Rattus norvegicus: one gene and its partners. The protein of the gene in region 1 purifies or fractionates together with the protein of each later gene. This does not show direct contact. Links are inferred from orthologs where the notes say so. Each region holds a gene or a part of one and is shown on either strand. Other genes may lie near its edges.

Evidence for each region.
Region 2: the proteins of Slc30a5 (region 1) and Slc30a6 purify together in Homo sapiens (co-immunoprecipitation; 5 studies listed by BioGRID and IntAct, with this or other methods). This does not show direct contact. The link is inferred for Rattus norvegicus from reciprocal best matches to the Homo sapiens genes SLC30A5 and SLC30A6.
Region 3: the proteins of Slc30a5 (region 1) and Csgalnact2 purify together in Homo sapiens (co-immunoprecipitation; 3 studies listed by BioGRID and IntAct, counting the BioPlex papers as one, with this or other methods). This does not show direct contact. The link is inferred for Rattus norvegicus from reciprocal best matches to the Homo sapiens genes SLC30A5 and CSGALNACT2.

Annotation. Positions count from the first base shown.
Region 1 is NC_086020.1:33,685,854-33,689,508, reverse strand, and holds part of Slc30a5 (proton-coupled zinc antiporter SLC30A5), read left to right. Parts: intron 1-426; coding exon 427-584; intron 585-1,724; coding exon 1,725-1,854; intron 1,855-3,557; coding exon 3,558-3,655. UniProt on the Homo sapiens protein: Together with SLC30A6 forms a functional proton-coupled zinc ion antiporter mediating zinc entry into the lumen of organelles along the secretory pathway.
Region 2 is NC_086024.1:26,775,453-26,778,783, reverse strand, and holds part of Slc30a6 (zinc transporter 6), read left to right. Parts: intron 1-1,760; coding exon 1,761-1,808; intron 1,809-2,666; coding exon 2,667-2,735; intron 2,736-3,331. UniProt on the Homo sapiens protein: Has probably no intrinsic transporter activity but together with SLC30A5 forms a functional zinc ion:proton antiporter heterodimer, mediating zinc entry into the lumen of organelles along the secretory pathway.
Region 3 is NC_086022.1:152,971,091-152,974,745, reverse strand, and holds part of Csgalnact2 (chondroitin sulfate N-acetylgalactosaminyltransferase 2), read left to right. Parts: intron 1-1,391; 5' UTR 1,392-1,651; coding exon 1,652-2,312; intron 2,313-3,655. UniProt on the Homo sapiens protein: Transfers 1,4-N-acetylgalactosamine (GalNAc) from UDP-GalNAc to the non-reducing end of glucuronic acid (GlcUA). Required for addition of the first GalNAc to the core tetrasaccharide linker and for elongation of chondroitin chains.

The DNA of each region.
Region 1 (3,655 bases):
TTACATTTTTCTCTAATTAATAGCAAGGATCCTATGCAAACGAGGCAAACAGTCTTTGCAGTATTGTGGAAATGCTGGTTTTGTGTACTGTTTTAAATCATTACTACAGTAGCTTGTAAGAGGTAGAGTTGCCTCTTCATAAGATGTCAATACATACCGCTGATGCTGACATCTATTTAGAGCCTGGTCAGCTGATTCCTACGGGCATACAAATCAGTTGCCTTTGAGTTTGTAAAATGCATGTATCTGGTTAGCTTACTTTATAATCTGTATGAAATACAGTATCCAGCATTAAAGTTTTAAGCATATCTTAAAAGAAGGCTTGGGTAATTAAAGGTTAAATTCTTATGACTAAAATCTAACAGTTCTCTGCAGTGGTGTATTTCTCAACATACTCCTCCCATGATTTCTTGACCCTCTCTTTAGCTCTTCACCTTTGTGGAGTTGTTCTATGGAGTGCTCACCAACAGTCTGGGCCTGATCTCAGACGGATTCCACATGCTCTTTGACTGCTCCGCCTTGGTCATGGGACTGTTTGCTGCCCTGGTGAGCAGATGGAAAGCCACCCGGATTTTCTCCTACGGGTAGGTGCTGTCAGGGCACTGTTCCCTTAATACAGTCAGAAACAGAGTCGTGTACTTCCAGTACAGATCATTCCAAGTCTTCGCTTTTACTTGATTTGAAGTTGACAGGGAGTGTGAGCCGCGCATTTGATTAATACTGAGTGGCAGTCAGCCCAGGATTATTCTTCCTAACCCCTAAACCACTTTAAACCACCTAAAATGTCTGCATTTTTGTTCACCATGTTTCTTTGGGGTCATAAAATATTCATAGCTATTCATACCTTGTTAAAAGTGTTCAAAATTTGAAGTGAGTATATATGAAAATACCCTTGTATTATTGCCAATAATTCAACCAATGTCACAATCACTTCTGTGTGCAAGGTGTTTAGTAAGTCGTACCTCTAAATAAATCCACCCTATTGATTGTTTATATTTTGGAAATCTTGCATGGTTTTTGTTTTGTTTGCCTGTTGAATGTTTGGCTACACGTATGTGTGTATACCATATGCATGCCTGATGCCCACAGAGGCCAGAAGCAGCAGTCAGATCCTTGGATCCCTAAATTCTCTGCAAAACACCAAGTGCTCATAACTTCTGGCCCATCTCTTTAGACCTAATTGTTTATATTTTGAAAGGTGAGGGGGCTGGAGAGATGGCTCAGAGGTTAGGAGCACTATGTGCTCTTCCAGAGGTCCAGCAACCACATGGTGGCTCACAACCATCTGTAATGAGATCTGGTGCCCTCTTCTGGCCTGCAGGCAGAACACTGTATACATAATAAATAAATCCTTTTTTTAAAAAAGTGAATGAACCAAGTATACAAATAATTTTGGTACAGACAGAATCTGTGTGCCATGAGAGATACAGTATATATTAGAGCTTTAGAAAGAAATAGTTGCTAAAAAATTAGATAAGGCTTTTTGTAAGAGGGGCATAAAGAAGGATTTTGTAGATATAAAATTATATAATATTTTAATAGTATTTTAATCTATTTTTAATTTTGCTATTATTAGTAGTATTTTTAAATTTTGATAATTTTACATTATTATTCACTTAGTATGAAAAGCTGGGCTTGTTTCTTCACTTTTTATTATAAGTTTATAATGTTTATATTTTTAAAATACTTGTCAGTCTTTTCTAAAAACTATTATGTGTGTTTAGGTATGGCCGAATAGAAATTCTCTCTGGATTTATTAATGGACTTTTCCTGATAGTGATAGCTTTTTTTGTGTTTCTGGAGTCAGTGGCTAGACTGATTGATCCTCCGGAACTTGACACAAACATGCTGACAGTAAGTCTTCTTCTCCTGTTTAAGTGTCCACTTACTCACCCGGCTTTTCCTCACCAAGGCCTATCTAGCTGCTCTGTTGCTGTAGTATGTTTTAACTTTGTTTAAACAGTATAACTTCATTCTTGGTACACCGTCTCCTTTATGTGCTGTTTTGTCTCCTGTGATTTTGGTAACTAGTTTACCATGGTCTAGTAAATGAAAAATTCCTTAAATAAATAAATTTGAGGTTTTAAGTGACCCAGCACTTTGGAGACCGTCAGAGGACTCCGTCTGCTTTAGTGTGTTGCATTGTTACAGTGGGTCTATCTCATCACTGTTGCTAGTCTCCTACGCCTGACCTGCACTTTACCACTGGGGTGTGTGTGTGTGTGTGTGTGTGTGTGTGTGTGTGTGTGTGTGTGTGTGTGTGTGTGCCATCCATAGCTTCGGGAACACACTGAAGTCTTAAAACTTGTGCCCCAACAATAAACAAAGACTACTCTGCTTACATTGTTACTTCAGACTCTTAGAGATTAATCCTTTTCTCAAATATCTTAGACAAATATAAGGTTACATTATAAAACATACAGGTTCCTTTATAACTTAATTTTTCTTTCAAAATTTATATTTTTAAATACCTAAGGGTATTCGTACATTGTTAAAGATAAAATCAGAGAAGAATAAAAATTGTATGTTTTCCCCAATAGATTATATAACGATCATAACAACTTTTAGTTTTTCCTATCCCCAGCCCTTATGGATGTGGTTTCTTGTAGATAGTACATCCTTCCTTCACGCTGCCCTTCTGATTCCTCTGAGATTTGCTGAGTCTGTTCTGTTGGGGAGCTTGCCCTTAAGTTCAGTCTTCTCTTCCATCCTCACAGTTTCCCAGGTGCTTCCTGTCAGTCTCCCTGCCATCTCTTATCCTGCTGTATCTCCTTTAGCAGCCCTGACTTGGGCTTGCTGTCAAGTCAGTCATTCTTCCATAGTAAGATGTCTTAAGGCCCTGAGTCGTGTATCATTAAGTCTTTGATGCTGGCACTTGGATTTTCAATTATGTGTAGGGTGTTTTGCCTGCATGTATATATATATACCACATAGCATGCCTAGTGCCCATGGAGGCCAGAGAGGGCATGGGGGTCCCTTGGAATTGGAGTTATAAATGGTTGTGAGCCACCATTTAGGTCGTGGGAATTAAAACCTAGGTCCTCTGGAAGAGTAGCCAGTGCTTTTAATGGCTGAGCTAGCTCTCCAGCCCTTTGGTACTGACATATAGTAGGAAAATGAACAATTAATTCTCAAATCACTGAAAGTAATTTGGAGTTTTGGTTAACTTGTACAGTTGGATCAAGGATGTGCCTGTCTGTTTTGAGCGGGGTCTCACTAGGTAGCCCTGAAATTCACAGAGATCCACCTGCCCCTGCTTCCTGAATGCTGGGATTAGAGGCATATACCACCATGCCCAGCCAGGATTTGCCATTCTATATCATTAAATTCAAATCCTTGTACCAGTTTTTCTGGTATCTGAAAGTTAGAATGATCCTTCTAAAATACTTTATAGTTCACATCTTTAACATGATAGATTTACTTGGGAAACTTAGTGAAGTTTACTATGAATAGTTTTGGAATTCTCAGTAGAAAAGCATAGCTATGTAATAACTTCTAAATAGCACCTTTTTTCCTAAGCTTTAGAATTAAAGCTTTGCTTTTCTCCTTTTTGCTAGCCAGTGTCCATTGGAGGGCTGATAGTAAACCTTATTGGAGTCTGTGCCTTTAGTCACGCCCACAGTCATGGCCATGGGCCTTCTCAAGGACACTGCCA
Region 2 (3,331 bases), on another chromosome or scaffold:
CTAAAGGGGTGTCTCACCGCAGCAGTAAGCACGTGTGCACAGGCTTAACTGCTGAGCTGTCCATCATCACTGGGTGGTTGGTTCCTTAAGTCTCACTGGATTAGAGAAAGCAGCTTCTTTGTGAGGAAGAGTGTGGTGTCTTCCTCCCTGGGAGCCCCTCCCACTCTTAGCAGTTTTCTCCTTTATTTTTGTTCATGACAGAAGCCATCTAGGAAAGGCTAAAAGCACACAAGTGAGTGTTCTAGAGATGAGCCACCATTTTGTATAGCCTGTGCTGGGTGAGCTTTAAGAAGGCAGGGTCCTCAGAGACTTCATCCCGGGACAGCTTCGCCTTGCTGCTGCGCTGCCTTTCCTGTCACATGACAGCCTAACGATGCCTGAGCATCGGCACACACTACTGAGCAGATTCCCTCAGATGAACATGAAGATGAGCTTTCACGAATTAATGCTGTTCAGAAGAATTAATGACTTTAGAGAATTTCTGGTTTGATTCAAATCATTTTAAGGAGAAAATTTAAGGAAACGGTTTTGGTTGTTTTGCCAGAAAGTTGTAATAAAGTTAGAAGCAAGAATAGAATGTGTCCCTGCCTCACAGAATAGTAAGTAAAGGCTGAATAATAAGGAATACAGTGAGCCTTCACAATTACACTAAAAAGAGAAATGGGCTTGGGACAAATTTATAATCAAGGAAAACATTGATTCTAGGTCAGGTCCAAGGAGGAAGCCATTGGTGTATACTATGATAAAGAAAGGCCATGTGAAACTATTACTTTGAGCTTATAATGAGCTTAGAGAATGAAACACTGCTTTGAACTTATTATCAACATCCTTCTATAACTCCCCTTTTGAGTAACATTTTATCTATGAGGTAATTTTCTATAGAGTTTTGTCTAAGAAAGTATAAAAAGGCCAGAAGAAATAAGGTAGTCAGGGTTGGGGATTTAGCTCAGCGGTAGAGCGCTTGCCTAACAAGCGCAGGGCCCTGGGTTCGGTCCCCAGCTCTAAAAAAAAAAAAAGGAAAGAAAAAGAAATAAGGTAGTGGCTGGGTGGGTTCTGCCCCATCCATCCAAATGTATGTGTGTGGCATTTGGGGCTCAGTCTCATTCACCAAATATATATATATATATATATATATGTATATGTCTGTTTGTCTATATGTATGTATAGACATATATGTGTAAGTATTTGTGTATATACGTAAGTATGCATGAACACTTGTAGAATTAATGAAACATATAGTTGAGCCTGTCCAAAGTGTATGTGTATGTCTGTGAGTATTGCCTGTGTTCTAAGCCTCTCTCCTGGACAGAGAGAAGTCCTTGAGCCAGAAAGAAAAGAGCCCTAGCAGTTAGACCTTTTCCCCTTCTTCATCCCCTGCTACTTTCAGCAGGAATTTATTACCAGAAGCCAGCAGCATTAAGCCGTAGAGTAGTCAGAAACCAGCACGTATTAGCACAAAATAATAAGAGAGAGTTACAAGCTGAATCCCACCTCCTTCCATTCATTCTAAAAGCCAGGGCAGGCTCCTGGCAGGCTCAAAAACAAACAAACAAACAAACAAACAAATAAACAAAATGTGTGTGGACCTATTAATGATGTTCTTAGGCCAGTGAGACCTCTCTTCCCTAAATCATAAGACATGTCAGAAGTCAAGGCTTGTGGAAACCCATTTGTGGATGTTAGGGAGAGCATCAGAACCATTATTGCAAAGTTAATTTCTCCCTAGGCCATTCATGTTTTATTTTATTTTATTTTTTTAGACAACACCACCTCATGTTATTGGTCAGTTGGATAAACTGATTAGAGAGGTAAGTTGAAATAGTAAATAAATTATCTTTCAAAATTATGTCAGAGAAACAAAAGGGTGGGTATGTATAATATATTCAATTAGAATTTTCTTCCAGGGGAATTCTGCTAACAGAGTAGAAGCTATAACACAAGGACAAACACAGAGAAATTTCAGAAACTGCTCAGTTTAGAAGCCAAATTGACTTGAAGTAAATGTAGAAAGAAGATAACAGTCAGAAGACATCATATTAACTGAATAATCTTTCTCACTCTGACTAAAAATGAAAGTCCAAGTGTACATGTTAATCTACTGAGATTCTCAGTTTGTAGGTTATTTTCTCCTGTTAGAAAGCCCACCCACTAATGAGGAAGAACAATCGTTGGTTGGGCTATCAGTTTCGAATGACCACTTTCCCAGCACAGCTGGCTGTGTCTCACGCTGAATCCTGGCCCTGAGCATATCTTTGTTGCCTCTGTCCTCATGGCCCTGGGATTTACTCAATGGCCTTACATTCAAACAGAGGCTTGTTACTGGAAGATCCAGGGCAAAAAACAACCAGTTCGCATGTACACTCCCATACACACCTTAAAAAGAAACTTGGCACCGGAAATGACTGTCATAAATATGTTTACCTTGTTCAAAAACACCACCATAAATTGTAAAGCACTGAGCAATCTGCCGCTGACCAAGGATGGGACAGCCTGGGTCAGGACTGAACAGTCAAACAGGAGCCATCGGAGACTTCTGCTAGCCACTGCCTGTCCTTGGTCAGGGTTCAGCTGAGTTGTTTCCAGGCGACAGCCAGCCTGTACTGTGTTTGGACTACTGCATTGCTCTGTCGAATGCAGGTAACTGATAAACTTTTATGTTTGATTAGGTGTCTACCTTGGATGGGGTGTTAGAAGTCCGAAACGAACACTTTTGGACCCTTGGATTTGGCTCCTTGGTATGTCTTCTAAAAGTTAGTTTAGTATGATTTAAACATGGTTTTTAAAACTTAAATAGCATTTTGTTAAATTTTTCATGGTGGGGGCTAGAGAGTTGGTTCAGTGTTTAAGAGCATTGCTCCTGCAGAGGACCTAGCAAATAAATAAATCTTTTAAGTTTTAATCATGGAAGCTTTGGTTTTCCTTTCTGTTGAGAGGCATCTAAATATTGACAGCCTCAGTTTGAGATTGAAGCAACTTTTTTCTTCTTTTCTTCTTTTTTTATTTAATCTCAAACCTACTGGACATTTTGTTGTTGTTGTTGTTGTTGTTGTGTTGGAGGCGTGGAAATTGCATCTAAGACTTATTGCCTCATAGTTTTCCCTGTCATTAACACTCTCCTACTACATGTTTTTGCTTGTTTTTCTTGGAGACAGCATCCCATCCCACACACGAGGCTGCCCGTGAACTCACTCTTGTAGCCCGGCCAGCCTTGCCCTACAAGCCTCCTGAATACTGACAGTCTAGGCCAGCACTGTCACCTTGCTTTACATGTCCTTTTTGTTTGTTCTGTTTTTTGTTTTTTTGTTTTGTATTTTTTTTTTAAGACAGGTCA
Region 3 (3,655 bases), on another chromosome or scaffold:
CTAACAAGTAGGAGGATAATAATAACTAAAATAGTTATGAAATATCCCTCAAATTATTTTTTCAGTAATGATATTTAAATGGTTCTTTCATTAAATATTATATTTTTGAGGAATGGTAAATCCTTAGAACCAGTATTAGCTTTTCATTTTCTTTTAGTTAGTTTGTTAAAACTTAAAACTATTCCCATTTTCTCCAACATTTAAATAAGGTTTACAGTCAGATGTCATAAGACTCTGAGTGAATTAAAGTTTTCAGGATACTTGGTAGTCATTTGGTTTACTAAGGTAACAAATGGCATAGGAAAATTAAACCCATTATTTGTGCTCTAATAGTCATAAAAAGTTCTAATCTTGACTATATTTTAATGCAAGTATGCCACAAAAAAATATGATGCAGAATTTTCTGGAGAGGACTTGTCTTCCTAGCGACTAGAAGACAAGTAACTGGGATGTGCCTACTGGTCACCTTCCAAGTTTGTGGCGTGCTGCAGAAAGCATTCCTGTGAGATGTCGCTGTCATGTGTCACATTACCCTGCTCAGAAGAGCTCAGTTGGAATGGAAACTCTGTTTGCAGCAAAGGACTTCTTGCCTCCTGGGTTTTAATCTCTTCTATTTCTAGAGTTAATCCTACTTTAGAATTAGATTGGAAGGGCTCACAGTACTGGTTGGAGCATGAAATGTAGCATGTAGTTTTATAAATTTACCATTTTCCTCTAGGCAGACAAATATAATTAAATCGTTTGTGGTTTTTCTCTCTATCAACTCCAAATCTTCCAGAACTGTAAGGAATCTTGCTGTGTCATACAGTGGAAAGTGATCTAATGCTCAAGTAATCTACCAGAGAACTTTGGATGTAAAAATGTTTTAATGTGTTTTCCAGATGTCTGTGACCTTTTGAAATTGTACCCCACCCCACTTGATTGAAATTAATGAGCAAGAGTATTTGAGTATAACTGGAGAAACTTTCTCTTACAGCAAATTATTATTGCTATAATAAAATTACTTATAGAAATCTAATTTCCACATATTACATGCTTTTGCTGGGAAGTAGTGTGTTTGTTAATAAAGAGTTATAAGCAGGATGATTTTAAAATAATTTAATTAGAATTTATTTAAAAAAACTGAACATAATTTTACTGTTATAATTTGGATGCTTCTTGATTCAGGGGGTAATAGGTGTTGAGATGAACTGGCTTAAAGTTCTATAAACAATATATTAGTATTTTGCATGCTATTTTTCTGAATATTTTCTTCCAGTGCCTACCAATTTCTCTAAATTGTATTAGTCATGGAACCCAACGTAAAATAGTGACACCGCCAAGCATATTGAAGCTGCCACCGATGATATGCTTAAACACAGTTCTCATTGACTCTGGTCTGTTTCTTTCAGAACAGTCACCACCCAGATAATGGATTATATAGACCAGATTGCGTAGTGTGGATATCATGGTAACAATACAGGAAGTATAAATTTCTCACTTCTGCAAGTAGTCATGACTACTGAAGAAGGAATCTTTTAAAATGACAGCAGAGCTCATTTGGGTACCTCTCATGGAAATCCTAATTTTGTTTTTAACTTTTGGTAACTTTTCGCTGAAGTCATGAACAAGCAAAGAGCTTGCCTTGTTAGGCAAACACACACTAGTGAGAATGTCTAGAAGAGGACCGATTCTTCACAGCCGGACCCAGTGGCTGCTGGTGGGCCTTGCTTTGCTTTTCAGTCTAGTATTATTTATGTACCTCCTGGAATGTGCCCCCCAGACTGATGGAAATGCTTCTCTCCCTGGTGTGGTTAGAGAAAATTATGGTAAAGAATATTACCAAGCCCTCCTGCAGGAGCAAGAAGAACATTACCAAACCAGGGCAACCAGTTTGAAACGCCAGATTGCCCAGCTAAAGCAAGAACTACAAGATATGAGTGAGAAGATGAGAGCCTTGCAAGAGAGGAAGAAGCTAGGGGCTAACGGCATAGGCTATCAGGGCAACAGAGAGCAGACACCCAGCGACCTCTTAGAGTTTCTTCATTCCCAGATCGACAGAGCTGAAGTCAGCATAGGGGCCAAACTACCCAGTGAGTATGGAGTCGTTCCCTTTGAAAGTTTTACTTTAATGAAAGTATTTCAGTTGGAAATGGGTCTCACGCGCCATCCTGAAGAAAAGCCAGTTAGAAAAGACAAACGAGATGAATTGGTAGAAGTTATTGAAGCTGGCTTGGAGGTCATTAATAATCCTGATGAAGATGATGAACAGGAAGATGAGGAGGGCCCCCTTGGAGAGAAACTGATATTTAATGAAAATGACTTCATAGAAGGTAATATGAAACATATGTTGGTAAGAACCATGCGAGTTGTCATCTGACCTCCATATGTGCATACAGACATGCAAATATAAAAACATTTTTAATCTTTTGATAAATTCTTATGTTAGCATGACAGCATGGTAGTAGCATATGCTAATATATCATTACTACCACAGTATTAAAGCATTTATATTTTTGTCCACTTAATATCACCAAAATTTTGAAATGGCTTTTGGACAAAGTTAAAATAAGATCATAATAAAAACAAGAATAAGAATTAGGATAACAGAGTGAGTCTAAGTCTCAGTGTAAGAATACCAGGTTGAAGGGCTCTTGTGGGCCATGTGATATTCATTCCTCTCTTATCTGGTGTTGACATTCCTCTTAGTTTTTAAAATGTATGAACTAAGGTTCAAAATTTGAAAACCACTTGATAAGGAAGGAAAAATCTAAAGCGTAGGTCAATGGTATTTTCCATTTTTAGAGAAGTAAATGGTCATGGCATCAGAGGGAATACACCATCTTACATTTGGAAATAAAGAAATAACACACTTTCATAGTACAGATTGCACAATGGATGTGAGGTCTTTCCTTTATTTATATGTGTGTGAGTGCTTTGTCCGCATGTGTGTACAGTGTTTGCAGAGACCAGAGGAAGGTATCTGATTCCTTCGCATTGGATCACAGTGCTGGGAATCAAACTTGGGTCCTCTGAGAGAGCGGCGAGTGCCCTGACCTCTGAGCGTCTCTCCAGCCCCAGGATATGCTCTCAAGTTGCTATAACTTAAAAGTCATATAAATCTTAGGTATTGGTTAATTTTTTTAAAAATAAATAAATGTGTATTCCTGTCTGTCTCCATAGTAATTAATGCCCACTGCTAGCATTTCCATTCCACTGCAAACAAAGCCATTTTGGCTATAAGTGTTTCTTAAAAGTTTGTTTTGCTGTATTCTATAAACAGCCTACCACATTCAGCATTTTGTTGGCCTCCAAACCATCATGGCTATCACTTGTATGACTTCTGAAGTCTATCAGGCAGGGATTCTGCTTTGCCCGGGCATTTTAGCCATCTTCTTCCTATGGCCTCTTTTTAGTCAAGATAGTTTTTGTTAGTTGCTTCTCTCAAAATTCTCCAACTTTCTGGAGCACTTAGTTTCTTTTTTTTTTTTTTTTCTTTTTTTTTTTCGGAGCTGGGGACCGAACCCAGGGCCTTGCGCTTCTAGGCAAGTGCTCTACCACTGAGCTAAATCCCCAACCCCTGAGCATTTAGTTTCTTATTTCACAGCACAATTGAAAGCTGCAGCTGACACAGGGTAGTTAAGTAGCGTGTGGCATGTCCTCACTTCCACTCTTC